Pelodiscus sinensis: one gene and its partner. The protein of the gene in region 1 interacts with the protein of each later gene in a biochemical or structural test. Links are inferred from orthologs where the notes say so. Each region holds a gene or a part of one and is shown in the gene's direction. Other genes may lie near its edges.

The links.
Region 2: the proteins of ANXA7 (region 1) and SRI interact in a biophysical measurement, tested with the Homo sapiens proteins (2 studies listed by BioGRID and IntAct, with this or other methods). The link is inferred for Pelodiscus sinensis from reciprocal best matches to the Homo sapiens genes ANXA7 and SRI.

The regions. Positions count from the first base shown.
Region 1 is NC_134718.1:4,146,725-4,162,363, reverse strand, and holds the start of ANXA7 (annexin A7), read left to right. Parts: upstream 1-9,623; 5' UTR 9,624-9,741; coding exon 9,742-9,749; intron 9,750-11,485; exon of another isoform or gene 11,486-11,504; coding exon of another isoform or gene 11,505-11,509; intron 11,510-11,831; exon of another isoform or gene 11,832-11,952; intron 11,953-11,992; exon of another isoform or gene 11,993-12,577; intron 12,578-15,639. Other genes in the region: EIF3F (eukaryotic translation initiation factor 3 subunit F), read left to right, coding at 2,882-2,959. UniProt on the Homo sapiens protein: Calcium/phospholipid-binding protein which promotes membrane fusion and is involved in exocytosis.
Region 2 is NC_134712.1:216,577,486-216,592,848, forward strand, and holds the start of SRI (sorcin), read left to right. Parts: upstream 1-7,719; 5' UTR 7,720-7,814; coding exon 7,815-7,859; intron 7,860-12,980; coding exon 12,981-13,064; intron 13,065-15,363. UniProt on the Homo sapiens protein: Calcium-binding protein that modulates excitation-contraction coupling in the heart. Contributes to calcium homeostasis in the heart sarcoplasmic reticulum. Modulates the activity of RYR2 calcium channels.

The DNA.
Region 1 (15,639 bases):
ACTTTTTTCCAAAACCATCTCTATCGACACCTCCAGCTGGGACAGTTCATCTGATTTGTCCCTGAAAAAGAATGGCTTGTATAGCTATCTCCTTCAGCTCTTCTGCAGTGAAGACTGATGCAAAGAATTAATTTAGTTTCTCTGTAATGGTCTTCCTCTTCCTTGATTGAGGGGCTAAAAGATCATTTTTCCCAGACCACCACAGATTTTGACAGAATTCCTTTTTCTTATTCACTTGCAATTTTTTTCTCTTTTGCTAGTTGCTCTTCAAATTCTTGCCATACTATCCTTTTTACACACGATTTGCCAGAGTTTGTTCCTTATGTTCCTCGGTAGGATTTGATATCCATTTTTAAAGAATGCCTTTTTGTCACGAACAACCTATCTTGCTTTCTTGTTAAGCCATTTTGAATTTTGGGTATACATTTAGTTTGAGCATCTGTTAATAGTCTTAAATAAGTGTCTCTGCAGCTTGACGGCATTTCAGTCGAATGACTGTTCCTTTTAATTTCTCTAACTAGCTTTTTCATTTTTGCGTGGTTTCTTATTTTGAGGTTAAATGCTACTGTGTGGGTTTCTTTGGAATTTTCCCTCCTTCAGGGATGTTGCATTTACTTCCATTATAGCTGCTATTGCTGAGAGGTTCAGCTCTGTTCACCTCTTGGACCAGATTCTGTGCTCCACTTAAGTGGATTCCAGTACTAGCTAATGCAAGAAGCAGTCATTAATGGAGTCTAGAAATTTTATCTCTGCATCCCATCTTGAGGTGACATGTATCCAATTAATATATTGAGAGTTGAAATCCATTATTATTGGGTTTTCTGCCTTTATAGTGTGTCTACTCTCTCTGAACATTTCATAATCTACACCATCCTAGTCCGGTTATTGGTAGTGCACACCTGCTGCTATACTCTTTATTATCCAAGCATGGAATTTCTACCCATTGAGAGTTGAATTCCTGTCCACATCTTTCAAGAAAGATGTGGCCCTTTCCCAGTCTCCAGTAATCACATTCTTCATGGCTGAGGATCTGATGTGAACAAGGATTCTTAGTAACTTATCAGGCATTAGGCTGAAGGAATGCACCTGATAGCCCCCAAAAAAGGCAAAACCAGACTGGTGACTAGATAAACTCTTTTTAACTAGTAACAAAAATTGGAAATAGGATAGCCAAGCTACTTGGGAGAGATGAGGACTTCTTAAGGCAGCCTTTCAACAATTAAAGGAAAAGGACGCCTTCTTAAACTTGCTTGGATTTGTGTGCATAACTTGAAAGCTATTGCATTGTCTAGAGACATGAAATGTTTAGGACAAGAGTGTAAATAGCCTGCTCTTACTGTAGTCTGGATTTGAAAGATGACTGGCATCTGGGGTAAAAGGTGAGGTGCCTAATATTTTTGACCAGTAACCTTAGGCTTCAATTTTTTTTTCAAAGGACTTTGTGATGTGCGTGTTGCCCATGACAAACCTGGTATGAGCCTGCCAGCTCTAACAAGCTAAGCAGAGTGTATCCATGCCCTAAGCAATGGGATTGAGCCCTGATTCAGTTCCCAGCTCATCTTAAAAGAAGATTAAGGGGGGACATGATAGCGGCTTTCAAATATCTAAAAGGGTGTCACAAGGAGGAAGGAGAAAATTTGTTCCTCTTGGTTTCTGAGGACAGGACAAGGAGTAATGGGCTTAAAGTGCAGCAGGGGAGGTTTAGATTGGACATTAGGAAAAAATTCCTAACTGTCAGGGTGGTCAAATATTGGAATAAATTGCCAAGGGAGGTGGTGGAATCTCCCTCTCTGGAGATATTTAAGAACAGGTTAGATAGACATCTGTCAGGGATGGTGTAGACGGAGCTTGATCCTGCCTTGAGGGCAGGGGGCTGGACTCGATGACCTCTCGAGGTCCCTTCCAGTCCTATGATTCTATGATTCCTGTGATAAATGGAGAAAGTCACAACCTCTGTTCTCAGTTTGCCCAGCTATAAATTAGAACCCTACTCTCAAGTGCACTGTTTGTAGAAGTGGCAAGTGTTATAAGCAGGATCCAACTAGTTTAGTAGTTGGATGAGACATCCAGGGATCAACTAGTTACAGCAGAAGGTGGTAGTTATTCAGTAGGAGCATATCCTCTGAGTTGGGTTTGATTCATTGACACCCCCCCCCCACACACACGCATGCTGCCTTGGGGAATGCATTGGCTGTGTTATACCCACGAAGGCCCTGATCACTTTCCCTAGGGATAGGGTTTTTGCCCCTCAGGTTCTAGCTAAAATCCAGTATTTGTAATTACTGTTTCCCTTCATTCTCCCTGCAGTTTTGATTGAGAGCTGCTACTCCAGTCAAACTTCATTTGCACTGAGACCCTCCTCTGATAACAAATTACTACACCTTGACAACTCCATTAAAATAGGGTCATGACCCACTTTCAGGTCCCAACCCACAGTTTGAGAATCCCTGGACTAGAGTGTTCACGTATTCTTTTGCAGTCCTGTGTAGTGGTGGTGTGTGCTATTAAGCAACTACTTCAGTTCATTGTTGGATAAAGGGAATCACTGCTGTGTAAGGTGGTCAGAGATTGCTAAGGGCACAAGTTGCTACTTCTCTGTCTGTGAAATGAGAATAATGCTTGCAATGCTCTGAGGGCTATAGATAAAAAGTACTCTGAGTGCTGAATCTTATGTGAATGGTCGGTATTCCAGACCAGTGAGTGTCTGAAATGGAAAATAAGTTGTGGAGCCAAAGGTGTCACTCTGAAGAATAGTGCTTAGCAACTGCACTATTTGTAAATTCCTTTAATGAAGCACATTTGCACGTCTCTGACATCACTCCTTTCTCTCTTCTCTTTGTTACTCTAATCAGTCTAACTGCTGTCCATTTTTCTTTCTCAGGATCTGCTGATGGTGACCTACTTGGCAAATCTCACGCAGTCACAGATTGCTCTCAATGAAAAACTTCTGAGCTTATAAGGAGCTCCCTGCCTTGTCACACCTGAGAGCCTGAAGACACAGCAGAGCTACTCTCCCAGCATTCTGTTTTGCTATTGAATTCAGTTGGACCATAATGTATCTGCCTAAATGACTCAGTATCCCCCAGTATTCCTCTGATTCACATTCTGCCCTGTGGTTCAGACATTGAATCAAATTGGGTGTGAGCCCATTGCTAAAAATAGTCGATGGCTCCTCTTCAGTGCTTATGAACTACTGTCCCAGACTGACCATGTATTTAACAAACCAACTCCATTGTATTGTGAGGATTGCTGAGTCTAAATAAAATTTCTTTTCCACTTGTAAGAGCGACTTTTTATATGTAGGTGTCTCTTCTGTCTCACTATGTAGTGATAGTGTCTTTTCAAAATATTCATTTCGGGAGATGAAATTAGAGCTCACGGGAGCGAGCCAAGTTCTATAGTATGCCTCTGGGGTCAGTCACTCTACTTGCCTTCAAGTATGCCTTGAAGTACCTTCATGGTTACCAGAAGGCAGTTGGACAAGAAAAATTCTCTTCATTCAGGTCTTCAGAATGTTCATAGTGCCTGGGAGCCCTCATCCTGGACCAAGGTTCCATTATGCTAGATGCTGGTCACTGTTTCTGTACAGTAGCTTTTGCCTGGCACCAGAATCTGAGCAGGAGCAGTACAGTCAGCTGAGAGTCACCTATATGTTGAATCATTTGTGGAAGAACACAGAGTTGTAGAACACAGTATGCAGAAACAAAGTAGAAGTTGGTTATTGAAGTGAGGTGAAAAGTGAGGTTGGTAACTGACCTCACACTTGAAGTCAGACTTGTCATTGAGCAGATGTATCTGCTAGAGTAACTTCCTTGCCTGGTCATTTGTAAATATTAGCACACCAGAGGATTCAAAGAAGAGAGCCTGAGAGGCTCCTGCCAGACAGCACAAATAATTATAACTTCCATATTTTTGTCTTTGTACTGTGATTCACAGCTGAATGTTAAAGCTAGTATTGCACTGGTTCCATCTGTTAATTTCTCAGATACATATTTTGAAATGAGATGCACAATTCAAATCTGGCTCTTAATGGTGGCCTGTAAAGAATGTTTTTAAAAAACTGGTTGTGTCCTCTCTGCTTCTGTATATCTGACAAAGGCCTGTAGACACTCATAGCTTTGGTAGAGGTTTGCTGAGATCTCCAGGAGGTTTATTGTGCTTTCTGGCATCTTAATTTAAAGCTCAAAATGGATGAATATTGAATTTACATTAAAGGTTTCCTTTTTCCAGTGTGTTTAGTCACTAGAGTTAAATGTTAAACATGGCTTTGTTTAAACAAGTTTGAACGAACAAAAATTCATTTTCCCTCTTAATTCTTCAATTTACAGTCTTTCAACTCTTCTGATGTTGCTATTTTATTAGTTCTCCAAGCAAAATAGTCTTGCAAGTTGGCCTTAATTGTTTCCTTTTGCAGTTCACTGTGCTATATGACAATGGTGAAATAAGCTTGATTTCCCCCAATAATACTTTATGGGTTGAAATTATGAAACTGTATTGGTTTCAGTTAACAGAGTGCCATCGACAGACTACATTAAAGTACAAAGTTCTCAAAATGAAAAGGGAAGTTGTTACACTGTTTAAGATAACAGTATACAAAGAAGCATGTCAACATTTTGAAATGGTAATAGACACCTTTAAATTGGATGTAGGATTGACTAATTACATGATAAAAACAACCACCTTTATATCCCGTATTATATAATGTGGAGTGGGAGGAGATCTTCATCAATGTGGAGCAGCAATGCTGAGTAGAGTTCCCAGAGAAGAGATCCCAGGTAATGAATAGGGTCAGCTGGATGCACCATAGCATGCGTACGGAGCCATAGAATGTAGTGCCATATCATTTAGTGGAAATGAAAATTTAAATTTTTCAGCAATTCCATTTATGCTTTTATCCATGCAGGGTTTTTTTTAGGTTACTGGGTATCCTTTTAGGAAAAGCTCTGCTTCTTGGGTTTTCTAGTGATGGATTTTCTGTCCCTATTTTCTAACCAGTTTCAGAATGGCAGCTTTTGTGTGGTAGTATGCTTTCTGTTCAAATAAAGCCATGTATTACCGCAATATCCATTTAGACGGTTGTCGTCTTTGCTATGCATCTCGGAAGAAAATTTACACAACTTCTAGGAAGCAGAGAAGAGGTGATATCTCTTGCAGAGTTTGTAAAGTGTCCAGACAGTTGAAATTTCTTTTAACAAAACTTAAGATTCTTACTGTATTGTCAAGGAAATGGAATGTGTATGTTAAATGAGGTGGAGATAAGTTCACTCAATATTTTAAATACCTCATTCCTACAATGTCTTACCTTTCACTCCCTGATTTTTGGAGTGCTTCACTTAACCTTTGTTATTTAACTTCAATACGTAGCTTTCAGCAGACTTCTACTATAATGATTCAGAGAAAGAGGCAGTTAAAGGAGATCAACCGGCTAGAGAAAATTGGTTCATTATACTTGTAGTATGTCCAAGAATGACATCTCAATATGTACTTAGATAATTTTAGTGGATCCTGTGCATACATAGTAATGCAGAGTACTAGAGGATGCTACTATACAAATAGCTAAAGCTGCAAAATCTTACTATATATTTTAGAAATGTCTATCTGGCTGAGAGTCAGTTTGTTCAAGAACTTCTCCTAAACAATAAGAGCTAGGACCACCAAATCTGATGTGCAACTTCCTCTTATCATAACTTAAAGCAAGGTCAGGGTTTGCTTGTGCCAGGATAGTGGGATGTGCATAGAAGGTAATTGTTTTGTATCAAACTGAAAGGGAGGATTGGGATAGTAGGGACTGTTATACTCATGCATGACTACAGAGGGCAGCAAGGGGAGCATCAGTGAGCAGCCTGAACAGCCTCCAGGCCACACAGTGTCAGGGAGAAACTGACAGTCACTCCCATCCCCTGCCTTGAGTCCCCTGTTCTTCCACTCTGAGCCCCTTATTCCTCTCCAACCCTGACTCTTGCACCCTCCACATCTCCTGTCTCCTGCCCTGAGCATCCCACATCCCCAACCCTCTGTCTTTACTCATGCATCTCCCACACTGCCAGCTCCCTGACCTGAAGGACCTGAGCAATGCTGGGTAAGTCTTTTAGTACAGCATAAATGAGGCTCAGGATGTGATCATGAGTCAGCCATGTTACCGTACATGCAGGAACAGACTGGTGCATTTACACAGGAGACTAAAAAATTGTGTGTTTTTGCTTTTATTTTCATTAGAATATGTTGAAGGCCTGATAAGCATTCTCCCTCGCTGTGATATGGTCCTCATGGTGAAACTTAGACAGTGAGACTGCTAAGCCTTTCAAACCATTGACTTTGGCGGCCCCTCATCAGTTGTTAGCTGCATGTGGTATTCTCTCTAGGTACTGCACTAGCTCTGGCAGCTAACTTGGGGCCCGCTAGTAGGTTCCAATCAAACTGCCCAAGAGCAGCACAGACTCATTTCAAGAGTGAAGATACTTAAGCCCGGTTGGTTGCTGAAGCATAGTCCTAATATCCTGGGATACGTCTAGACTACAGGCTTTGTCGACAAAACTGTCAACAAAGCGCCTCTAGACTACATCAAGTTCTGTCGACAAAGCAAGCTGCTTTTTTTGACATGAGAGTGTAGACGCAATAATGCCTTCTGTCGACAAAAGGTGTTATTCCTTATAGAATGAGGTTTACCACCGTCAACAAAACTGCTGAGTTCTGTCGATATAATGTTGACAGAACTCGGCGCTAGTGAAGATGCAGGTATAGTTTTGTCAACAAAAGTCCACTTTTGTCGACAAAACCCTGTAGTCCAGACACCCCTGTAGACCACAAGTGGCAAGCAAGCTGATTTTTACTAGCAGGTGGGGTGGGAGCTCAGCCTTGCTCCCCCCACCCTCTGTGCAGCACCAGCTCTGGCTTCCTTCTGTGGGGTACAGGGAGGTGGGATACGCGTGTATCCCTAGCTCTGCCTCCTGCTTCAGGAGGGGAGTGGGGGGCCTCCTCTGTAGAGCTGGGCCTGCGCTGCTCCCTGTAGGATGTCTGTGGGGATGGGGAGCCCCTTCCCTAGCAGTCCACTGCACTCGACTGGGCTGGAGCCAGCTCTGGGCAGCCCCAGGCTCCATCTGCCACGGAGATACAGGCAAAGGGCTGGGCTGAGCAGAGAAGAGACTATCCCCCACCACCTCTCCTTGCCCAGCGCTGCTGCCTCTAGTGAGTGCACTGGGGGCACAGGGATGGGGAGGGGTGAAGGAGGATGTGGGGGCAGAACGGGAAGGGGCATGGGGCAATGCAGGGGATCAGGCTGGGCGGGATCATGGGCTGAGGGGAGCAAGGCTGGAGCACAGGGAAGATGGGGGGGGGGATTTACAATTTTACTTTGGAGAAGCTGCATTTTCCTTTACTCCCCATTTTGCCTTCCTTCCCAGCTAGCAATTTGGCTGCATTCTCACCCTCTCATCTTTTCTGCATTACTCCCCCAACCCCCTCTCGCCCTCAAATTCCCTCTCGTACTCCTTTCCAGACTGCTCTCCTCACCACATCCTAGACCCCACCTCCTGCCCAGATCCTGCAGCCCTATCCCACTCGCTGGCAACCCTGTCTTGCACACTGAGCCCCTCATTTTTGTTCCCACCACAGACCCTAAGGGGGGCCACAAAATCCACCAACTCTGGAACCCCAGAAAAGTAAATCTGGCCTATGGGAAGCCCTGAACCTCAGTTCCTCCCTTCCCCTCACCCTGTGGGGGCTGGACTGTCAGAGTCTTTGTTGCAGGCCACATCAGTGAGGGTAGGGGGTTTTGAGAGGAGTTTTTTTGCTTCTGAGTTGTGTGGTCCCCAACTGATCTTTCTGTGGGTCAGTGACCCCTGCCATTAATAAAGAAAACATTGAAACCTTTTGTTAGATATTATAATTTATTTAAATTAAAGTTTGATAAACTAACATGAGAGAGTTAAAACACTTAATCTGTTTAATAGTTTAAATTAAATTGTTCTCCCTAACTGCAGCACTTGCAAAATGGCTTGGGCATAATTATGTAATTAACAGTGAATTTCCATTAGAAATTGATGGTCCACAGAAAGGTTTGCATTGACCCAGGTGGTCCACGGAGTGTGTGGTGGAGAGAGCCCCTCTTCTCCCTCCACCCCACTCCCCCGAGAGGCCCAGGGCAGGAGAATTAAATCTTGGCATGCCACTTTGGAAAGTGCTGTAGAGACTACAGAATCAATCGTACGTGTTCCCCCATTACGATGGACCAGCTCAGTCAATAGTAGGATTTTCCCTTTTGCTGGACAGACACATCCCCTCTGAGACCCCCTCTTTATACACTCATACAAACAAATTCTGTATTGCCCCTCTGAGGTGGTTGGTTACCAGCTTTTACCTTGTACATGTTTGATCAAAACATCCTATTAGCCTGACCTGCTCTTTGAGGGGTCAGTGTGTCCTTATCTTCTTTGAGGAATATATTCCCATTGATATGGTCCTAGGATGCTCTGGCATGTGTTTACATGAATACTTAATCCTTAGGTGTGTTTGTGTCAATGCCAATCTTGTTCTTGCTGAGTTCATGTATTGGACAGTGAACCTGCAGGCATTGGCTTTGTAAAAGCCCAGGGCTTGACTTTAATTTGGGTGCTAGACCTTCCATCAGAGCCCACTGATCTCAGGCTCTTTCTACTACACTGTTCTCACTGTGATGCCGATGTCAAGCCACAAACAGACAAACAAGCCCTGCTCCTAACTGAAAATAAGCATGGCCATACTGGGTCAGACCAAAGGTCCAGCTTGCCCAGTATCCTGTCTTCTGATGATGGACAATGCCAGGTGCCCTAGAGGGAATGAACGTAACAAGTAATCATCAAGTGATCTAGTCCCTGTTGCTTTATTCTCGGCTTCTGGCAGAGGCTAGGGATGCCATCTTGGCTCACAGCCATTGATGGGCCTATCCTCCATTAACTTACTTAATTCTTTTTTTGAATCCTGTTAGTCTTGGCTTTCACAAGCTCTTCTGACAGAGTTCCACAGATTGACTGCATTGTGCAAAGACATTTTCTTTTGTTTTAAACTTGCGTAGTTCATTTGGTGACCCCTAGTTCTTACATTGCTTTTCTGTACTCTGTTCTACTGTAGTTCTTTGAGTTCTTTGGTACAGTTGGTTAGCATAATCAAGAGGTGTTCCATATTTGCATGGCATATTGCATCAGATTTTTTGCACGAGCACTATGAAGTGGCCTAATGCTACATTGTTCAGAGCAATTATAGTGTTGATGACCACTCATGTGGGAGTAGAGTAAGAAATTATGGAAAAATTTGCACTGTGCTACTTCAAGATGTGTGTGCTTAAGCAAAGTAAAAATAGAGGCTCATGTTAAAACTTGCCTGTCTAGATGACTGTATTTCAAGAGGTGTGACCAATTACAAAATCAGGCAAATAGCTGCACTGACATGTCACACTTTTTGCTGCCATAAGCTTGAGCTATGTCTTGACATGCTCATGCCAAAATAACACAGCAGAATCAGACCTGCTCCATGCATTGTGGTGATTGCAGGCAGAGTAAGCTTTTTAGCGTGGCTTCACCTAGCAGAGCCAGAGAAATAATGGATGCAGTCCACCTACAAATCCTTTAGTTGAAGTTTGCTGCTCACTAGTGTTGTGGGAGGGATTTCTAACCAGATGATTCAGTGGGGAGTGGCCCTTCCTCTGCCACTAAACAAACACAATATTCTTTCTACTTATCAGCTGAACAGAACTGGCTTCTTGCACACATGGCTGGGTAAGTCAGTTTAGCCAAGCTTCACTACTGTTGCTGCATTGTAATTACTGTGGTCACAAGATGGTGCAGAAGTTTTGATAGTAGATATTTTAGACTCACTTCAGTGACACATGCTGCTGGCTTTTTGTACTTTAATCTGTTGGTGCAAAGATCACCAGAACCGTTGCTGATACAAAGTGGGGGAGAGTGACTGATAGCAGTTGACTGAAATTTAATATATTAAAACCAGGACAATTGCTGCCTCATCACTTACATTTTGTATTGCACTTTGGGAGGCAATGGTGTCTAAGGGCTAGTGCATAAGACTTGCAGCCAGGAATCCTAGGGTCTGTTCCTAGATTTGCTATTGACTTGCTGGGCAGCCTTTGCGTAAGCTCTGTGCTTTTGGTTTCCCAGCTCCCCCAAACAAACTGGCATATTCACCTTTTGTAAAATACCTTTAGAATTTCAGAGGATGAGTACTACAAAAACACAAGTTATCTAGGTCTGTACATGCAGCCCTCAATTCTATTATGCCTCCTGTAGATGTTGGGGGAATGCCACTACTCCAATGTGTGTGGGGGGGCTATTGAAATAAGATAATTTTGCTTTGTGTGCTGCTGACAATTTGGGGAGAAGGGTTCTCTTTCAGAAGTAGGAAGTCAAAAAGATGGTGAGTAAATATACTCCCCAATGAAGGTGAATTTGTTCTTACATGCTTGTTAGCATCTGCTGACTCTCTCTATGTACACTATGTACTCAAGACATTGACTATTGTTTTCTACAAAGTAGCTGCTGTTTGCTAGGTAAACTCATTTTTTTCCACAGAGGGGTGGAAGGAGGGTTTCTATCCAGTCCAGTATCTTTCCTCTCCTGGTGTCCTCTCCATGTGATCCAGAGGGAGGTGTAAAATCCTGCCATTAGGTAGATGTGAGATAATTTGCTTCTTCCATTGTTGTCATTCTCTAATAGCTAGAGACTAACTTGTAGCCTTTGCCCTCCTGCACCAGCCTAGCACCCACACCCAATGGTTCCAGAGTCTGTACCCCCTCCTGCACCTACATTCCCCCAAAGCCTGCATCTCCTCTCACATCCCCCAACTCCTCCCAGAGTCTGCACCTCCTTCTGCACTCCAGCTCCTTGCCCTAGCCTCAGCCCAGAGCCCCTCACATCCAAATGCCTTGCCAAAGAGCCTGTATCTCCCTGTACCCTAACTCCCTGCTCCAGTGCTGAGCCTTCTCCACCTAAAATCTCTTAAAGCTTGTGTCCCTGCCCCAGCCTGGAAAGGGGAGGAGAGGGAGTGTCTGAGGGAGGGAGATGGATGGGGTGGGACAGGGGTCATTGGGTTTGTGAGATTAGCCAGTATGGAAGTTCTGGCCATGTTGGATGAGCTCACCCAGCAGTGATGTTGCAGCACTGCCTAAGTGTCAGGCAGACTGCATCTGGCATTGCCTGTGTGTCTTATAGACAACTCTGCCCTGAGGCCTGGAATTGCTCTTTGCAGGCCTGATGACCAGAGAAAAATCAGTCAGGGGCCATACACAAGTGATAATCTCTCCTACCCACCCCAACTCAAGCCCTCACCAACTCACCTCCTTCCTGAGGAGAAAGACACTCCCCCCAGCCGAGCCCCAGGCTAATACATGGTGTGCTCCAGCCTTGTGCGGGGCAGCAGGGAGGCTGGCGGGGCAGCCTGGCTCAGCCCTGCGCCTCGGGCTGGATCCCGACAAGCGGGGCCGAGGTTTCCCGCCCTGGCACAGATGGGATGCGCCGCTGATGAGGTGCTCCTAGAATTCCGTTGGCGGGTTGCTGCCCGTTAAGCGAGCTGTGCTGCAGCAGCCGGGCTGAGGAGAAGCCTCGCGCGTCGGCAAAGCGCCGCAGGCCGGGGACGCTCAGTCACAAGGGACGTGTCGAGACAGGGCGGCGATTCGCAGCCCCCGGCTGGTCACTGCTAAGACAGGCCCAGGGGCCGCCCTGTGCCCGGCCCCGCGCTCCCGGGGACTCGCACCAGACGCTGGCGGGGCGGGGGCGGGACCCCGGGACCCCCCGCAAGCGGCGGCCTCGCGCTGTGGGTGGGGGAAGCGGCCCGGCGCGCGCTCCCCGCTGGCCTGAGGGGAGAGGCGCGCGGCTCCCAGCGCCCCCGCCTGAGGCGCTAGAGGGGCGGGGCGGGGCGGCCCGGGCTCCATTTTGCGGGCGGTGCGGAGGCGGCGGGTTCGCGGCTCAGGTGAGTGGGGGGCGGCTCAGGGCTGGGCCCCCTCCCCGGGGTGAGCGGGGCGGGCGGGCGCAGAGCTCCGGGGCCAGGCAGCACCGCGGGGACGGCCGAGTCCTGCCCGCCCGGCGGAGACTGGCGTGGTGGGGGCTCCGGCGCGGCCCGGCGGCTTCGGGCTGGGCTGGGCCGGGCCGGGCCCCGCGAGCTGGCGTCAGACGGGACGGGGCCTCGTCGTAGCGCAGACGCTGTGCGGGCCGCTCTGCCCACGGCGAGGCCCCGTTCTCCGCCTCCCCTCGCCCTTCCTAGCGCCCGCCTGGAAAACGAGACTCCGGCTTGTTCCCGAGCTCCGGAGAGCCCCGCGGCGATCACGGGGCGCGCTGCCCTCGAGCCGAGCTCGGTCTCCTGGCTGGATTCCTGGCGCAGAGACGCGTAAATCGTTCCCGTGCTGAGATTAGCTCTGTAGACGCCGGAGAGACCGCGTCTTCGTGCTTACTCTGCAAACCCCTTTCACACTTGGCTTCCGTCCGCAAAGCTCTTCTCGGACTTGTCTGCTTGCATAATTAGGAGCTGAAATAATGTGTTGATGCTCTTATGTTCCTCTTAATCCTTTGTGTATTTTCCTACGACCAAGTTAAGACTGGTAGGTAGTCTTAAATTTGCCCTTTTATTTTCAAGTTCACCCAATAAAATGGATCAGCTACAACTTTGTATTGCTCTTTCTATTAGATTTTTAATGTTTTTGCTTTACTGTCCACATCTCTTTCCTGCTGCTTTTGCAAAGGAGGAAAACTTTGGGGGCTGCAGAAATTGCAGACAGAGGGTGGCTAACAAACAAATTGAAAACTAAAGTTCTAGAGTGGCTTTTGGATTACACTTTCTAGGAAGGAGGCAATTGAGAGCTCTCAGTGGTACATAGTACAATATTTGTACTAGTCCTAGGCCCTTAGCAAAGACCAGGAGCGAGGGAGGACCGCTGTTGGAATCCAGTGCCAATAGCTCTAGCACCTGCCCTGCTGCTCATATTTTTTTCCAAACCGGGCCATTGTGAAACTAACACAATTCTTGTCCTTTTCATAGTTGTCCAGGGTAATAATAGTTACCCCCTCTTATCAGTCTTGTTTCTCTGCTTCTTCCAGAGGTTATGACCAAAAGGGGAGGCTGACTGTAGAGTGGCTTGCAGACTAGAGAAGACAGCACTGCATTTGTTTACATTTGGTTCCCATTTCAAACATTGTCCTTGCCGTTGTGAGGGTAGAAATGTATTGAAACTGAAAGATGATTTAGACTCCTTTTATCAGGAAAACTTGCCTATTTATTCTCTAGTACAGTATATTTTTTTCAAGCACTTGTTTGTGTCTGTCTTCCAACTAACTCATTCATGGTGTAATAAACATACGTTTTTCTTAACACTTAAAAGGCAATTTTACTTTTTTGAACAGAAAAAAAGAAAATCGTGATCCATAATTCTAGAGTTTTGAAACTCCAGTGGTCAATATTATTTGCTGACCTGTGTCTCAGGGTGGATTATAAGAATATTTGAATAATGCTTCAACGAAAATGCTTTCATGCTTCACAAACTGTTAAGAAAAAATCCTGAAACTTAAGCTACATTCTTAAAAAAGGCTTCTGTTGACTGAATCAGTTTTGTAATAAAAAACTCCCTTAACAAAGGGTGAAGTCTCAGTGTTGCTTTGGGATACTCTAAACCAGTGGACTGGTCTGTGAGATCTCCCTTATACTATTTAGGAAGGCAGCAAGAAGATGGTCCCTGGTATCAAAAAGACTGAGAAATGCTATTCTAAGGCATGCAAGAGATAAGTCAGTTCATGTGCTGTGTTCATGCAGCTGGCTATTGTTTAATAAGTACGTAGTGCAATATTATGCAAGTGATTCAGTTTCTCTTCTGAAAAATATCTGCACATACTGAAAGCTATTTCAGTAAATGTTATTGCCAGGTTAATTTTTGAAAACTGTTTACAACAGTATTTGAGCCGTGGTTGAGGATTGAACCAGATTGGAGAGTTGTGTATGCCAGTCTAGTTGTAATATGGGAGGTATTATTGAACTGTGGTGTCCATGCAAACCATTTGAATAACTTTTAAATAATTATTTTCAAATAAAAATTAAAAAAGCAGGCCAAGAAACACAAACGCTTTTTTTGTATTTGCGGTAGGTGTTGCCTAAAGACACCAAAATAGTGGTTAGGGCCTCATGAGAATTGTTATAAGACACAGTCCCTGCCCCAGAAAGCTTGCAGTAAACAATTTACACAACAGGTGAATAAATAGACACATGGGAGGGAGTTTAAACAAGCTAAGGAGAGGCAGCTTTATTTGCATATGTTGGCAGTGTTACAGAGGTCACAAGCGTGAACTGGCAGTTAATTTGCTAATCAGAGATTTTGACAACTTGATAAACTGGTCTGTTTTATTTGTTTTGGGGAAACAAGTGTTGCAACCAGATCCTTCAACAGTTGATTTTGCAGTACAGCCAAACTGTGATATAGCTCAGATCTATATAATGCATTTAATATCTGGTATTTTAAAACTTATGTTAAGGGAACTATACCTTGGTTTCATAAACTTCCTTTAGTTTCCCTTGAGTGGCAAGCTTACTAGTTAAGGCTATAATTTATTAATGGAATTAAGCAAACTAGACAAGCTAAAAATATTTGTTTTTCAGTGTTAGTAATTTTTATTTGGTAATGATTTAGGGATATAAAAAGTTAACCAGTTAAACTTTAACTTTAATAGGTAAGGCTTACTGGTTTTGGTTAACTGATAGGGGCAGGAGCTGCTTCTTGCCTGCCCCTTAGATTTAACCTGTTAAATGATTAATCAGGATTTTACAACCATGTTTTCAATCAGCTGTTCCCTTCAAAACCAGAAACCTGGAAATCCTAGAGTAAACAAACTGCAAACTTGTAATGTCTCTAGTAACTTCCAAAAGATCGGAAGGTCCTTGGGTCTTTGGCTAGGGTAAGTCTATAGTCCAGAGATCAGAGCAGGAAAGAGGTAAAATGGAGATGCTTCAAAGGTTCTTTTTACTTTTTCCCCATGTGGAAAGGATGCTGTCAGCCTTGGTTTGTGGAAAAGTATGGTGCAAGATGGGAGTCCGGGGTCGTATGAGCAAGTTACATGCCCTTCTCTTTGCCAGAAGCTGTGGATGGGTGACAGGAGTTGGATCAATTGATGAACTGTTCTGCTCACCCCCTCTGAGGCACCTGCTGCTGGCCAGTCAGGAGATGAGATACTGGCTAGATGGGCCGTTGGTTTCTATAGAACAATGCTTCCCAACCTCTTTTAGCATATGGACTCCTTTTCAATCTATTAACGTTTCATGGACCCTCCCCCTCCTTGTAGAAGGCGGGGGAGAGGGGGAGGAAAAGTAAGGATTGGGCCAACCATAGTGGGCCTGATCTTTATTTTTAAACTTGCCACAGATCCCTGCAGTACTGTTGGGAACCACTACTATAGAATGTTGTATATTGAAAACGTAGGGGTCAAAGTCACCCCACCTTCGTACAATCTACATGTTCAGTTTCTATTCAGGTAAAATGCAGAGGTTAAATTGATTCCCTCAATCCAGGACCAGGGGTTGCTGCTGCTCTGGTTTCTAAGCTGAAATAGTAGCTCCAGCCCTTCCATGCAGATTGTGCAAGGTACTGGATGGAGCTACTGGATCTGTAAATACTCTCCTTGC
Region 2 (15,363 bases), on another chromosome or scaffold:
CTCTGTAGTGTAGACATACCCTAACACAGCACACCAACAGATAGAGCATGTAATATTCGAGGTTAAAATATTATATGCAATATCTATTTCCTTTACACACACTATCTCATACTATGTAAAACAAAAAGCAAAGTGATATGTAATTATTGTTTTGCCACTGTTTAAGCAAGTATGATTATTCTGTGACTCAATAATTATGTATGTAAGAGTTTGTCCTACCATCCATAATCTTACCATCTGAATAGTTTTCATCAACACTTCATGGTATACATCATGAAATCTCTGGCATGTGTTTCCTGTCAATATGAAGATAACACCAGCTTCATTTAAAATAACTCACCTTTCACAACACAATGAAAATCAGTCTCTCATTTTTAGAAGAGAAAAATGCCAAACTCTATTATAAATAGAATTGTTTGGGAATTTTTTGAGAAAAAAATTTTCATTGGAAAACAATTATTGAAACTTTCATGGAAATGTATCTGTTTCAACAGAGAGAGAGAGAGGTAGAGAGAGATAGAGAGTCAATCTCATGTTCAAACTCTGTGGTGGAGTAGTTCCACTTTATATAAATAATTAAATATTCATGGACCAAAGTTAGAGATAATGTCTCTATTAACTGGCAGTGAGGGTATTCACCAGGGATGTGGCAAGCCCAGATTCAACTACTTGCCGGCATGATTCAGAACAACAACCTGTACCTTTCACCCATCCCAGATGAGTATCCTGATTCTGAACACTGAGCTATCGGCTATTCTGGGATGGCTAAGTCTATTTCCAAGAGTGCTGGAACAATTTGTATCGCCAGGGTGCTGACAGCCATTGAACCAAACTGTAAACCCAACATGAAGGAAATCACTTCACACCAAGGGATGCTTCTGCACCCAGAAACCCTAGTTCAGCACCTATATTTATTTCCCTCTTTTATTTCCACAAAAAAAGCCAAAAGGTCTAATTTTAATTCCTTGTCAGAACAGAAAAATATGTCAAAACCTTTAATTTTTGTGTGAAAATGAAGTTTTGTTTTCTGGCCTTACCTGTAGATTCCCACTGAAGTTCTTTACACCCCAAATTCCCATGTAAATGCAGCAGCAGGTCTTATTATATTCCAGTTACAGATACTTAATTCACTGAAGCAAAACTAAAATTCTCAAAGGCAGCATTTGATCTGGGGTGTCCAGTTTGAAAGACCTTATATTTTTCATTGCTAAGTATGTAGTTCTCACTGAGTTCAAATGGAGTTTTGGGTGCGTTTTAACAAAAACAAATTTTCTCTGTGGGTATGTCTACACTACCACCCTAGTTCGAACTAGGGTGGTAATGTAAGCAACCGGAGTTGCAAATGAAGCCCGGGATTTGAATTTCCCGGGCTTCATTTGCATAAAGCCGGGCGCCGCCATTTTTAAATGTCCGCTAGTGCAGACTCCGTGCCGCGCGGCTACACGCGGCACGGACTAGGTAGTTCGGACTAGGCTTCCTAGTCCGAACTACTGTTACTCCTCGTAAGTATTCACCATTTTAGATACTACTAATTCATCCTGCTAAGAATGGCTTATTCTTGGGCTTCAAACTTCTGAGGAACACATTTTTTTTAACCTTTTTGAATGAACTAGGTTGTATCCGAAACTATTTAAAAGTCTGCTGATACTCTACATGCCCTCTACCCTCGGCCTCAAAAGTCTTCATCCACACATCTAGATGAAACTGGATATTGTGCTATGTTCTTGATAAATGCAGCATAATTTTCAGGAACAGAGTATAAATGTTTTCAGCAAATGCACTTAATATAATCTTGTCTGCCAAGTGGTGTTGACTCTTTCCCTGCTAATGTTTGTGAGGCTGTGCTTTTATTTAATAGAAAAAACAAATGAATAGATTGCTCTTGTCCCTCAGCTCCCTGTAAGAGCACGCATGTGAACATAGGATTTATTATAGGCCATGTTTCTAGGAACCAGCACATCACAGTAATAATTCATATTTTCAAATTAGTTTTATTAGCAAATCTGACAAACTTATATTCTTCCATAACTCACTATGTTGCCATCTTCTGAAAATTAAGTCTGAAAATAGAAAATATTGTCAGACATTTTTAGCGCTGTGTGCCTTTATGCTCTCATCATTGAGGGTACATCTAGACTGCAGGGTTTTTCTGGGATTCTGGAAGTATCCTGGAAAAATTCTGCCATCTCCAGGGAACGCGTTTGCTCTTCTGCTTTTTTTTGTTGAAGAGCAAACGCGCTCTTTCGGGGAGCCCTGTATACCTCGTTCTACGAGGAATAAGGGCTCCTTCAAAAGAGGAGGTTATTCCGCAATTTGGCCCTGTTTATCTGGAACACAATTTGCATAGCTTTTTTTGAAAAAAGGCTATTGTGTATGTTACTGCTTAAATGAAGCACACGAGATCTTTTACTGGGGAAAGGCAGTTTACTGAGAATACAACAGTTGCATATGCTTTTCAATCACTCACACACAAACACCATACACACACAGTCCCACCAGATGATGTTATAGTTATCTGTCCAGATTCTGTATCAGTCTAGCAGCCAGCTAGATTGAACACAGAGGAAAAGCAGGGCCTTTGTCGGTCGATCGATCTGATGCTCCTCTGGAGTTGGTGGCAAGACGAACCCAAAGTCCCATAGCAAGGCACCCTGCTTTTATAATCCTCTCCTCTATGGATTTCACTGTGTCAGTCTGTGACCGGTTACGGTTAACTTTTGGTGCCCACCCTTCACCTTTAGAGCCATCAATTCTGCCAATCTGATCAATTCTTGACCGTGGGTACGCACTGATGGTTTTTCTGATGCTGATATGTTTTTTCGCAGTCTGTCTTTTACAGTTTGTTTTCACTCCCATTACCCTCCTTCTCTCTTGACCATCTGGCTCTAATGATGACCTTCACATGTTATCTCATTAACACAAATAGTCTTTCACAAAATCCCTCAAAAAGTAAACAGTATTGTTTTATATTAAGCAAAAGCAAAATCAAAACAATTCACATCGAAGGCCCGGACCTTCAATATTTCTATACTCATTAACATAGACACAATATGAGATCCTGTTTCTTTACTTACTAATCTTACTAAACTTTAGAACAGGGAAATATAAGAGATATATACTTAACTAAAGAATTTAATTTACCACAATATTAAATAAAATTATATATATATATTATATTACTACATTACTAAACCTAAAATACAAATATAAAAAGAATAAAACTTTCAGTTCCAACATGTAGACTTAGCCTCAGACTGCAAACAAGGGTGACAATTAGGATGGTGTTTCTTGAAATCTTGTTACTATGAACATTATATTTGTAACAATGAAGTTCATTTTGTACGCCAAGACTCTTCCTATGATACTTCAGTATTATCACAAGCCAACGAACTCTTTTTTTCTTACAGTTTTAGTTTGTCACATGATCATTTGCTCTTCAAAGCGATCAATGCATCCTATGTTATAGGAGTCCAAAGATTAAGAGATAGGCAAATGGCAAATGAGGTAAAATCATGTACATTAATTTGTGAGATCACAGAATTATAAGGATGTAGGACTAAAAGGGACATCAAGAAGACAAAGTTCAGCATCTTACCCTGAGGCAGGGCAAAGAAACCTAAACCATCCCTGAGAGGTGTTTATCCAAATTGTTATTTAAAAACTCCAATTACTGGTAATCCATAAAACCTCTTGGAAGCCTGCTCAAGAGCTTAATTACTCTTATAGTTAGCTTTTTCTAACAGTTAACCCAAATGCCCTTTATTGCAGATTAAGCCTATTGCTTCCTATACTACCTTCAGTGGACATGGAGAACAATTGATCACATTTCTCTTTACAGCAGTCCTTTCCTTAACATATCTGAAGACTATTATAAGGTCCCACCTCAGTCTTCTTTTCTCAAGACTAAAGATGCCCAGGATTTTTTAACATTTTGTCATAGATCAGATTTTCTAACTCTTTTATAATGTTTATTATCTCCTCCTATGTCCAATTAGTCCATATCTTTCCTAAAGTGCAGTGCCCAGAACTCTACCAGTGCTGACAATTACCAAATACCTTAAAAATAGCATTCCTGTTATGTCACCCAAAATAAAAACATTTTTCAAAACAGCATCATCACATTGTTGGCTCTTGTGCAATTTGTGTTCCGTGAATGCTAATGCTAAAGGGTACGTCTACACTTGCACTCTAGTTCGAACTAGGGATGAAAATGTAGGTGACCGAAATAATTGCTAATGAAGCGGGGATTTAAATATCTTGCACTTCATTAGCATGATCTCGCCGTCACGTTACTCCACTGAACAGCTGTTTCGAAACTGAAAGTGTGCACCGGGACATGTTAGTTCAAACGAAACCCCTTGGTTATTCTTTGAGGAGTAACATTAGTTTGAACCAAGGTGTTTGGTTCAAACTAATGCATCCCGGCGCAAACTTTCACTTTCGAAACAGCTGTTCAGCAGAGTAATGCGCCGGCGAGATCATGCTAATGAAGCACGAGATATTTAAATCCACGCTTCATTAGGAATTTCGGTCGACTACATTTGCATCCCTAGTTCGAACTACGGTGCAAGTGTAGACGTACCCATAGACACTAAAGAGTAAAATCGCAAGGATGCTATAGGTCAGAATAAAACACCATTGGAAGAACTGCATATGAAAAAAGGCATTGCAAGGTTGAATGAATGGTTGACATGCAGAACTCTGTGTTAGCTTGTAAGCTTGTCTCTCTCACCAGAGAAGTTGGTCCTATAACAGATATTACCTTAACCACGATGTCTCTCTACTATCCTGTGACCAACATGGCTACAATGACACTGTCCATGACGTTGAATTAACTATTTGTATATTTTGAACACTACGCCAGATCTGACAGAACTATGCCTTAGTCTAGGCTTGACCAACAGCCCTTCAATATTCTTTCCATGTGAGCTGGGAAAGGGGCTATGATTCTCAATAGCATGCATGTTAATTTCTTATAAAATCTAAAGAATAATAAGAGGAATCACTGCTAGCTTCCTCAGATGGCTGAAATATTATTACCTCCGCTAGTTCTATAATATTAATCTGAATGAATTAATGGAGAATACTGTATATGAAAGAATCAAATTTAAGTAGATGATAATTGTGGCATGACCTTGGGCAAGTCACTTACCCTTCTGTGTGCCTCAGCTTCCCTTTCGTAAACTAGGGACCAAAGTGACTTCTAGCCCCGCACTGCTGTTGCAAGGGTCTCAGACACAGGAGGCGTCAGACTCACTTATTCCCCTGATGTCTGTTCCACACTGCTGGAAAGTGCTACCAGATCAAGCCAAGGGCGGGACGGGGGAGAAAGGACCTGATTTTAAGAGGAATAAGGGATCTTCCGGAAAAGCCTTTATTTTCCGAAAGATCCCGTCTAGACTGGCGCTTTTCTCCTGCAAAGCCCCGAGCCGGAAAAAAGCGGCAGCCATGTTCATGCAAATGCCGCGGGGGATATTTAAATCCCCCGCGGCATTTGCAATTCTGACTTGTCTCATTAGCATCCCTTTTCCGGAAAAGGGTGTCAATGTAGACACAGCTTCAGGGTACGGCTACACTGCCGCTTTTTTTTTTTCTATTCTTCTGTAGGAAGAGTTTTTTCCAACATTTGGCCTGTCTAGACTGGGCCAAATTTCAGAAAAACCCCTTATTTCGGAAGCCCCCTTATTTCTCATGGAACGAGGAATACAGGGGTTACTGAAAGAGCATGTTTGGTGCGGAAGAGTTTTTCCGAGATACCTCTGGAATACCAGAAAAACTCCTGCTGTCTAGCCATACCTTCACTGGGTTGAGACAGGATGTGTGGGCTCTGGGGTGGGAATGAGGGATTTGGGTTTGGGAAGAGGTGAGGGGTGCAAGCTCTGGGAGGGAATTTGGATGCTGGAGGAGGTGGAGAAGGGAACACTGGGTCGGGGAGGTAGCTCCAGGCTGGGGAGTGTTGGGGTCAGGTGGAGGGTTGGGGTACTGAGCAAGCCACAGGCTTGTGGATGTGAGGGTGCAAGAGTTTGGGTTGGGATATGTGAGGGGCTCAGGAAAGGGAGGTTGGGAGTATGATGAGCTCAGGACACAGATTTGCAGTGTGTGGATGGTGCAGAAGTGTTGTGGCAGAAGACTGAGGATGTGGGAGTGCAGGAGTTTGGGGATGTGAAAGGTTCAGGACAGGGGGTTCCAGTGTATGATAGGCTCAGATCTAGGGTCAGGGGGTGGGGTGGTGCAGGAGTGTTATGAAGCTGTGGCCAGATGGGGGCTTGGCCCCAGTTGGGGGTTTGTTGGCCAGGCTTCATTTTTAAATAAATATTATGTTAAACACAAAAAGTTTCAGCATTGTCTTTATTTATGAGAAGGGCAGGGAACCTGTTTTGAGTCAGGGGTCACTGACCCACAGAAAAGTCAGTTGTGGCCACACAAGTGAGATGCAAAAAAATAACTCTTCCCAAAACCCCCAAGCCTCACTAATGTGGCCCCAACTGTCCTGGTAGAAGCAGGGGACATGGTACTGGGGAAAGGTGCTAGTGGGTGCTGGGGCAGGGGACAGGGCGCTGGGGCGGGGACAGGGTGCCAGTGGGTGCTGGGGACAGGGTGCCAGTGGGAGGAGGGGCAGGGTGCCAGTGGGGGCAAGGGACAGGATATCAGTGGGTGCTGGGGCAGGGGACAGGGTGCCAGTGGGTGCTGGGATGGGACGGGGTTCTGCGGCAGGGGACAGGATGCCAGTGGAAGCAGGGGACAGGGTGCTGGGGTGCTCCGTTGACGGAGCCATGTAGATTTGTTTGTTTGGCAATGGGAAATGAAGCCGCGATTTAAATAATCGTGGCTTCATTTAAATTTACATGGCTGCCACGCTGAGCCGACACACAGCTAATCAGCTGTGTGTCGGCTCAGCGCGCTAGTCTGGACGCTGCCCTGTTGAAATGAAAGCCTTTTATCAACATCCCCGGTAAACCTCAGCCTACGAGGCATAACCGGGATATCGATAAAAGGCTTTCAGGTCGGCGCGGAGTGTCCAGACTAGCACGCTGAGCGGACAAACAGCTGATCAGCTGTTTGTCGGCTCAGCGCGGCAGCCATGTAAATTTAAATGAAGCCGCGATTATTTAAATCGCGGCTTCATTTCCCTTTGCCTACAACCCTCATCTACATGGCTCCATCGATGGAGCCATGTAGTCTAGACACAGCCTTCCAGTTCTAGCATTCTATGATTCTATAAGTAGCTGGCTTTTGCGACTCGCACCGTCAGCTGCCATTTTAAATAGTCTCATTGCCAGTCGCTCCCATTCAACTGTGCACATTACTTTTAGGAACTGTCAGCCTGTGCAGTTGGTAGAAACTGCCTGGTGACAGACTGTGGGAACGACTGTTGCCTGAACACTAATTCTAACTCTTCCTATTACACGATCAGCTCCCAATGAGTGCCTGCTGGCAGGATTATAACACGCACGCTGACCCGGCTGTGACAGTATATGCCTGCATTAGGCAGTGATTCTGTCCCTTTAAATGAGTACAGCTCGCTCCTAGGCTTGCCCGATGTTTTTACCAAACTCCTGAAAAATAGCAGGAAAAAAACTTGGTTGAGAAAAAAAAAACGGGGGAGAACCAAAAAAAGGTCGCTGCACCTTCCGACTCCCCCCCCCCCTCCTTGCGCCCCCCGCCCACGCCAGACACGCAGGGGAACAAGAAAAGCAAAACACGTTACATAGCCGGCAGTTTGGGGGTTTTTTAACGGGCAGGAACCGGAAATAACGCGCCGTCGCAGCACCGGAAGTGGTCGGGGACTGGCCGACAGAGGCGCGCTAGGGGACATGGCGTATCCCGGGCACCCCGGCGGAGGCTACTACCAGAGCGGGGTAAGCCGCCCGGCTGCCTGTGCGGGGGAGGGGAACGGCCACCCGCTCGGGGGAGGCGTTTCCCCCACTCGCCATTGTGCCGGGGGAGGGGGGGCAAGTGGCGACTCAACCCCCCCCCGCACACACACACACACACACACCCGCGCGGGGCTGTGGCGGTGTCCGGGCTGTAGGTGCCTGCGGGAGCCCGTGGGGGTCAGACGCGCTTTTGGGGGCCTGCGACGTGTGTAGCCGGGAGCTCGGCTGCCCCGCCGCGCCCCCTTTGCGGGGCGCGCCCGGCCTAGTCGCGTTGCCTCTGAACCGCTTGCTTGCGCAGTGGCTGTTCCGCATATGCGGCCTCTCTCTAGAGCAGTGTTTCCCTATTTTATTTGGCCACGGAACCCTTTTAAACTCAAAAGAATTTTGTGGAACCCCTAATAGCAGCCATATATATATATATATAGCTGAAAAAGTAGACCCCAAATAAGTAAGGATAATAGTAAAGCAATGCTAAACAACGTCATGAGAGCAACACAAATGAAAATTGTTTTCAATAAAATCCATAAATGCTTAATATTTTTTTTTTTTAATAATAACATGTTATTGTAATGGAATTTTCTCACGGAACCCTTATTTTCACTTTGCGGAATCCTGGGGTTCCCGGGAACACCATTTGGGAAACACTGCTCTAAAGGCTCAGCTTCAGTTGCTGACTTCAGAGTACTCTTCTCCTCCCCTCTTCCCCCCCCCCCCCCCATCACTCTTTACAAAAGCGGCAGGTTGGGGAGGTTTCGAAGAGCCACTCGGCTTGACCTCGGTATGTTTTGTTCCTGCGAGTCCTATGCTGGTTCAGTCCAAGCTGGTTCTTAGCCCTCGTGAAAGTATTTGTCTGGTTAGGGTGATCATGCAAACAATCCTCAGAACAAATGTAAACCGGTTGGAGTACCTGAGCGATGGAGGATGGAAAGAGAGAGAGAGAGAGTCAGAGCAGCAAACTTCAGTAGCAAGGCTGAAGTGGTTAATGGTTTTGTTTTTCTGCTACAGTTAGCTGGGGATTTTTGCTGCTGCTTCTAGCAGACCCGGAAGCTATTGTGTCCCATAGTTTTCCCTTTTTTCATGGAATACAAAAAAAGCTGCTGGCCCAGACAACTGACTGTAAACAATAGAATTCTAATAATGTGGAAGTCTCTTTCAGTGTGCTGGTATTAATTGAAATCAGTGAGAGCTGTAGATGCCTAATGCCTCTGAAAAGCTGGCTACCTGATTAGAATCCCCTCCCTGCTCCAGCAAAACCAAGTCAAGAGACAACCTTCTATTATCCTCAGTAGAGGTGATAACATACTACACTTATCCTTTGTTAAACAAAAATAATTTAGTTAGAATCAAAGCTTTGGTTAAAACATGAATGCTCTCTTTGTGGGTATAAGTAACACTGAGCTTGGAAATGAAGAATGAGCTTGTGCTTCAACAGACAGGAGCATAGGTCAGGCCTATACTGGAAATGTCAGTATATAAATGTTGGTTAGAGAGGGTGGAATTATTTTGCTCACCAAGCCTTTGTGAGCTACATGGGGGTTGGCAGCCTATGGTGCACGTGCCATAAATGGCACATGAGCTGATTTTCTGTGCCATGTGGGGCAGGAGCTCAGCCCTGCCAGCCTCAGGATTGCTGCACAGCTGCAGGCTGGAGCACCAGCTCTGGCTTCCTGCTGGGAAGGGGTGGGGCAGGGGAGGCATAAGAGTGGCATGGTGTAGGATCCAGAGTGGCCCAGCAAAACCCTGCACTGAGCTCTGCGTCCCTGGAGCTGCCCCTGCCCCTTGGCAAGCATCTCCCAGGTGCTAAGGGTTTAACCCTCTCCACCCGGCACTACAGTTTGTCATTTCCTTCTTCCAGTGACATCTGAGCTTTCAGCCAAGGGCTGAGCTGGGGGGGAAGGGTTTGGGTCAGGGGGCTACTTAACAGCAGGCTGGCAGACAAGATGATGGAGCCCCAGCCAGCTCCAGTTCTGTGTCTCTGTTGTCAGGGTCGGGATTAGAACCCTGGGAAGGGTTGGCCTGGGGCTGCTCCACAGATTGGGGCTGGGTGACTGGAGACTCTGGTGTAATGGGCTGTGCCATGCTGCTCCCTGCAAGCTGTGTGCAGGGGTGGGGAACTAGCCCCAGGCTCTGCCTTCCCCAGCCCTGGAGCTGCAGCCTGCAGATGAGGCAGGGAAGTGACTCTGCACTACCCTCCACCTACCTCACCCCTGCAAATTCCAGTGCTGCTGGTGAATGTGCTGGGAGCACAGGGATGTGGGAGCAGGAGGAGAGATGAACCAGGATGCAGGGGATCACGCTGGAGAATCGCGTGGCTGAGGGGAGTGATGCTGGGGGAGAGGAGATACAATTTTACGTTGCAGAAGCTTCACTTTTCTATACTCTCCACTTCTTTGTCTCTCTCCCCGACTAGTTATTTGTCTGCATTCTCACCCTCTCACCTTTTCTGCATTACTCTCCCAAGCCCCTCTTATACCTCCACCCCACAACCTCTCCTACTGCCAAACTCCCTTCCAGACCCCATCCTCCTCAGCCCCTGCTGAACCCCACCTCCCGCCCAGATTCTGCATCCCATCCCATTCGCTGGCAGCCCTGTCCCACATGTTGAATTCCTCTTTTTTGTTCCCACCCCAGAGTTTAAGGGTGTCTACAAAATCCACTCACTCTAGAACCCCAGAAAGTAAATCTGGCCTATAGGAAGCCATGAACCTCAGTCCTCCCTCTTCCTTCCCCTCACCCCATGGAGCTGGAGTGCCAGAATAGTGAGGTGTCTCAGTTGGGGTCTATGTCAGTGAGGGTTGGGGTTTTGAGAAGCAAAAATCTCCTTCAAATTTATGTGGTCCCCAACTGATTTTTTTTCTATAGTCAGTGGCCCCCAACCCAAAAAGGTTCCTCACCTCTGCCATAAATAAAGAAAACATTGAAACCTTTTGTGTTGGACATAAATTAATATTTTACTTTATTTATAATGAAGTTTGATAAATGAGCATGAGAAAGTTAAAACACTTAATCTGTTTAATTTAAATTAAACCATTCTCCCTAGCTGCAGCACTAGAAAAACAGCTCGGGCATAATTATGTAGTTAATGGTGAGTTTCCATTAGCAATTGGTGGTTTGCATTGACCCAAGGTTTGCATTGACCCAAGTGGTCCATGGTGTGCATGGTGGAGAGAGTCTTTTCCGGGAGAGCATCACGGCACAGGGCAGGAGGGTAAAATCTTGGCACACTGCTTCAGAAAGTTGGCCGACCCTTGAGGTGCATTGACAGAAGCACTTGTTTTGCTGCTATGAAACTGTCTGCACTAGGGATGTAAGCAACTAGTCAGTAGTTGAGTGACAACTTGAATACTCGTTCCCCATCTGCCTCTGTATCAGAGGCAGCAATAGGAGGGGAAGAAGGAGTCAGTGCTGGGGGGAGCTGGCTTACAAGCTGTTTCCCCCAAGCGGAGCAGGGGAGACAGAGCCACAGAGGTCCCTGAGCTAGCGCGAGCTGGGGCTGTTCACTTCCGGCTTACGCCAGCCCCGGGAGGTAGCCCTGCTGTGGCTCTGCAGCCAACTGTAAATCCATTTTCGTAATGAGATTCAGATCATTGACCGAATGTGGAGGACTCATAGGGTACTGAGAAATTGATAGTATTCTGAGTTACTACATAAGCCAAGTTTCGTCTGTTTTGATGGTCCATTTTATCAATGATACTTGTGGGAGAGTGGGTCTAGAGTAGATTTGTTATCACTTAGTTTAACCAGATACTTAATGGATTTCTATTTTGACATTTAAGCTGAAATGAGAAAGTAACTGTGTAAGCATTGAGTCCTTTGCTTCTGGAGACTGCCAATAGGAATGTAAGCAGGTGCTATAAAGTTACAGAGCTTGATACAGTTTTTTCTATTGAAATATTTTTGTCATTTCAATATGCTTCCATTATTTCGCTATGTGCATGTCAAGGTTTAATAATTGAAAATTACTTTCTTTTTGAAAAAAAAAAAAACAATTCTTGTCCTTTTATCAAAACTGGTGAGCCCTGAGAATATTCTCCCTTTGGTCCCCACATTGTGCCAGTAATGGAGAAAACTAGAGTATAAATTTGACTCTCTAATTTAGGCATATTTGTTATGCAGGTTATATAGTGCTGGTGGCTGATTCTGAATGGGATCTGATTAATTTAGTGGAGATTAATTTAGAGTTGAAGGTGGACAAAACAAAAAAAGATCCGATAGCGTTCCCGCTGCTGCCACCAGCTGTGGGGTTCTGTCTGACAGCGGAGGAGCTGGCATTGACTGAGCAGAAACTGGAGTGGGGGTGCTCAGGAAGAGGCAGGGCACCTGTGGAGCCCTGCAGCTGGGGGCTGGGAGTGCACCAAACCCCGCGTTAGCCCACTGAGTCCCATGGCCACCCAGTTGTGCTCCTGGCCCCTGCCCATGGGGCTCTGCAGGCACCTTGAGCATACCCTTCTATCCTTGAACTTGAGCACAGCTAATGACCTATTGGCGGAGCTCTGGGAGAGCAGGGGAGTTGAGTGCAGTGCCTGGCTTTTCCACATAAATGCTTCAACCCTGGAGCACCCACAAAGAGACCAGACCACACATGTTGCCAAAAGATTGAAGACCAGACTATAGAGGTCCAATCTGAACTATAGAATTGAGCAAATGCTAGTGAAAAGACATATTCAGTTTACAGTGGGTGATAAATGTTTAATAGCACTCGAAGGGAAAGTTGATGGCAAGAAAACATAACATGGAAGAAGATCTTCAATGGATGATATGGTATCCTATGTGGATCAAAAGGACTAGATTAGCAAAGGATTGTATGGAATGAGCTATCATGCAAACCTCCAATAATGACGGTGACATATACACCCAATTTAGGCATTCTGTGCTTCTGCTAGATCACTGGGCTAGCTCAAATGTAAGATTTTTAAGTTGGCATGCCTTACGGTGTAGCAAGTATATGCACCAAGTCGTGTGCTCTCTTTTAAAGCATTTTATATGCTTCAACAAGGTGTATATTAAAAGTGACCCTCAAAATTGATGCTGAAATGTAAGTCGCTGCATTTTGTAGTCAATTAAAAATTAATTTTATCTAAATCGTTTTTCTTATTTTTAAAGTATGGTGCTGCTCCTGGAGGACCAGTGTTTCCGGGGCAGACTCAAGATCCTTTGTATGGGTATTTTGCTGCAGTAGCAGGACAGGTATGTTTTTCCCTCAAAAGCTATTTGGTTGAAGTTATGGCATAAGACAAACAAACGTTCATTTTATTACAACTTAAATATTGGATATCACCCTTTGTCATCAAGGTGTATGGGATAGCAGAACTTTCTAGCATATTGAGACCAAATAGTGGAAACTGGGTGTGAGGACAAAGTCGGGAATAATGTCAAATTGAATTAATTATGGCTTAAGTTTATTCTTGCTCACTTTAGAACTATGAACAGGGGTGGGGCGGGTCCGTCACATGTAGCATAAGAATCCAACCAGAAATGACAGCTGCTTGGTTGACCTCCTTAAAAGCCAAGAGAAGTTATTTAGGTCATTATACAAAGGGAAGGCTTCATTAGGTGTAGTAACGTGGAGTACCAGAAGCTGATGGTATGGATTATCTTGCCAGACAGAATGAGCATGGTATATGAAAAGGGGGACATTTATGTCAGATATTTGCATCTTAATATTTCAATGCCTGATTTTGACAGCCTATCTATTACTCTAAAGCCGGGGTCTCAAGCTCAGTTTCCCTTAGGGCAGGTGACAGGCCTAGTGGGCCAGCATGTACCCTCTCTTTGACAGTCCCCTCCCCCCGCATGTCTCTCAGCCCCCCATCCTGGCCTGCATGCTCCCCCCACATGTATCCCCCCCCAACCCAGCATGCAACTCTCTAGCAATTTAGAATTTGCTGGGGCCTGCACTGCCACAACTGGCAGTGCAGTGGGGCTAGAATGGCTTTCTACTTCTAGCTCCATGCCACTGCTGGGACCTCCCTGTGGGCCAGTGGAGGTGTGTGCAGAGCCCATCCAGTCCATAAGTATAAGCCATGAAACTATTAACTCATTTTGTGAACCTGACTATATCTCAGTAATACCGTCTTCGCTGGTTTGATCATCAACCTCCTGATAATTAGACTTTTTTTTTTCCTGGAAAGCCTCAGGAACGTTATTGGAATTAGGAATGTTAAGAGGCAGGTATCTAATCAAGTAATTCATAGAATTTTTATCAATTGCTCGATTAATCTAATCGAGAGCCAGCCTGGCTCAGTCCTAACTCTTGCCTGTCTGGGTCCAAGCTGTGGCTCTGCAGTTTAAAATGCAGTAGGCTCTGGGAGGGTTGCGGGGAGTGGAGGGGGGAGCGGTTGCTACTGCCCTGCTCCTACTGCCTTTTAAATTGCAGAGCTGCAGTGGGGTTTGGTCCCACACCCGTTGCGAGCCAGGACTAAGCCAGGCTGCCTATCTAGCCAGCAGCATCCCCTGTCTGCAGGGATCCCAGTGGGAAACTAGGACCTCCTAGGACAGGGGCTGCTGCTGTGAAGCAGCCCCTGTCTGTGGCCAGGCCGCCGTGGATAGGGGATACTTTATGGCAGCAGCCCCTGTCTTCAAGAGGTCTCAACTTTCTGCTGGGACCGCCTGCGGACGGCAGCTGCTGTGAAGCAGCCCCCGCCTCTAATAGAGGCAGCAAAGAGGGCGGGAGGATGGAAACAGGCAGCACCATGGAGACTGTGCTGGGGGAACAGGCTTTTTTAGAGACAGCAAGGGGTGGGGAATATGAGTAGTGGACTTGACTATCCAATAAGCCTAGGTGAATTGTGTAGTCGACTACTCCCTTGCATCCCTAATTAGAATTAAGACAGATCTGGGAACTTAACTACCTGATGTCTCATGCACCACTATCAACTGTGGTCACTCTGACTTAGAAGATTATGGTTGTTTGTTGATGCACAGTATTAGGAGAGAATCCCAGATTCCTTTTCCCTTAAAAAAAAAAAAAAAAGGCTTTAGATCTCTTAGTTTGTGGAGAAAAGCTAGAAAATGTGCCCCAATTTCAGCCAAAGAGCTCAAATGCCACATCCAACGGAAAAGATCCCCAAGTGTATTTTTATCTGTGATTTCAAGAAGTCACCCTCTTTTGGGAAGATGGGGAGGCTGATTAATGAGTTTTAAATGCTTGGGGTTGACAATACAGTACGTGCAAGTTGATAGTGTCTCCCAGTGTGTCCAGGAGCCTAGACTGAGACCAGGATCCTACAAAAGACATGAAACTAAATCCTCACCCTGACACCCCCATGTCCTCAAACTGGAATGCCCCCTTCCCCCCTACACACACACCTGTTACTTCCTCCTGCTGGGATCCCCCGCCTCTACCGAAGGTAACTGAAAGCAAAAACCACTTGTCCTGCTCCACTGGCTGCAGAAGCACATTAGCTTGGGTGGATCCCTGGTCAGTGCATCATAGCAGAGGCAGCCTCATGGCTTCCTGGACCGAGCTGCACCCTTTGGGGCTGAG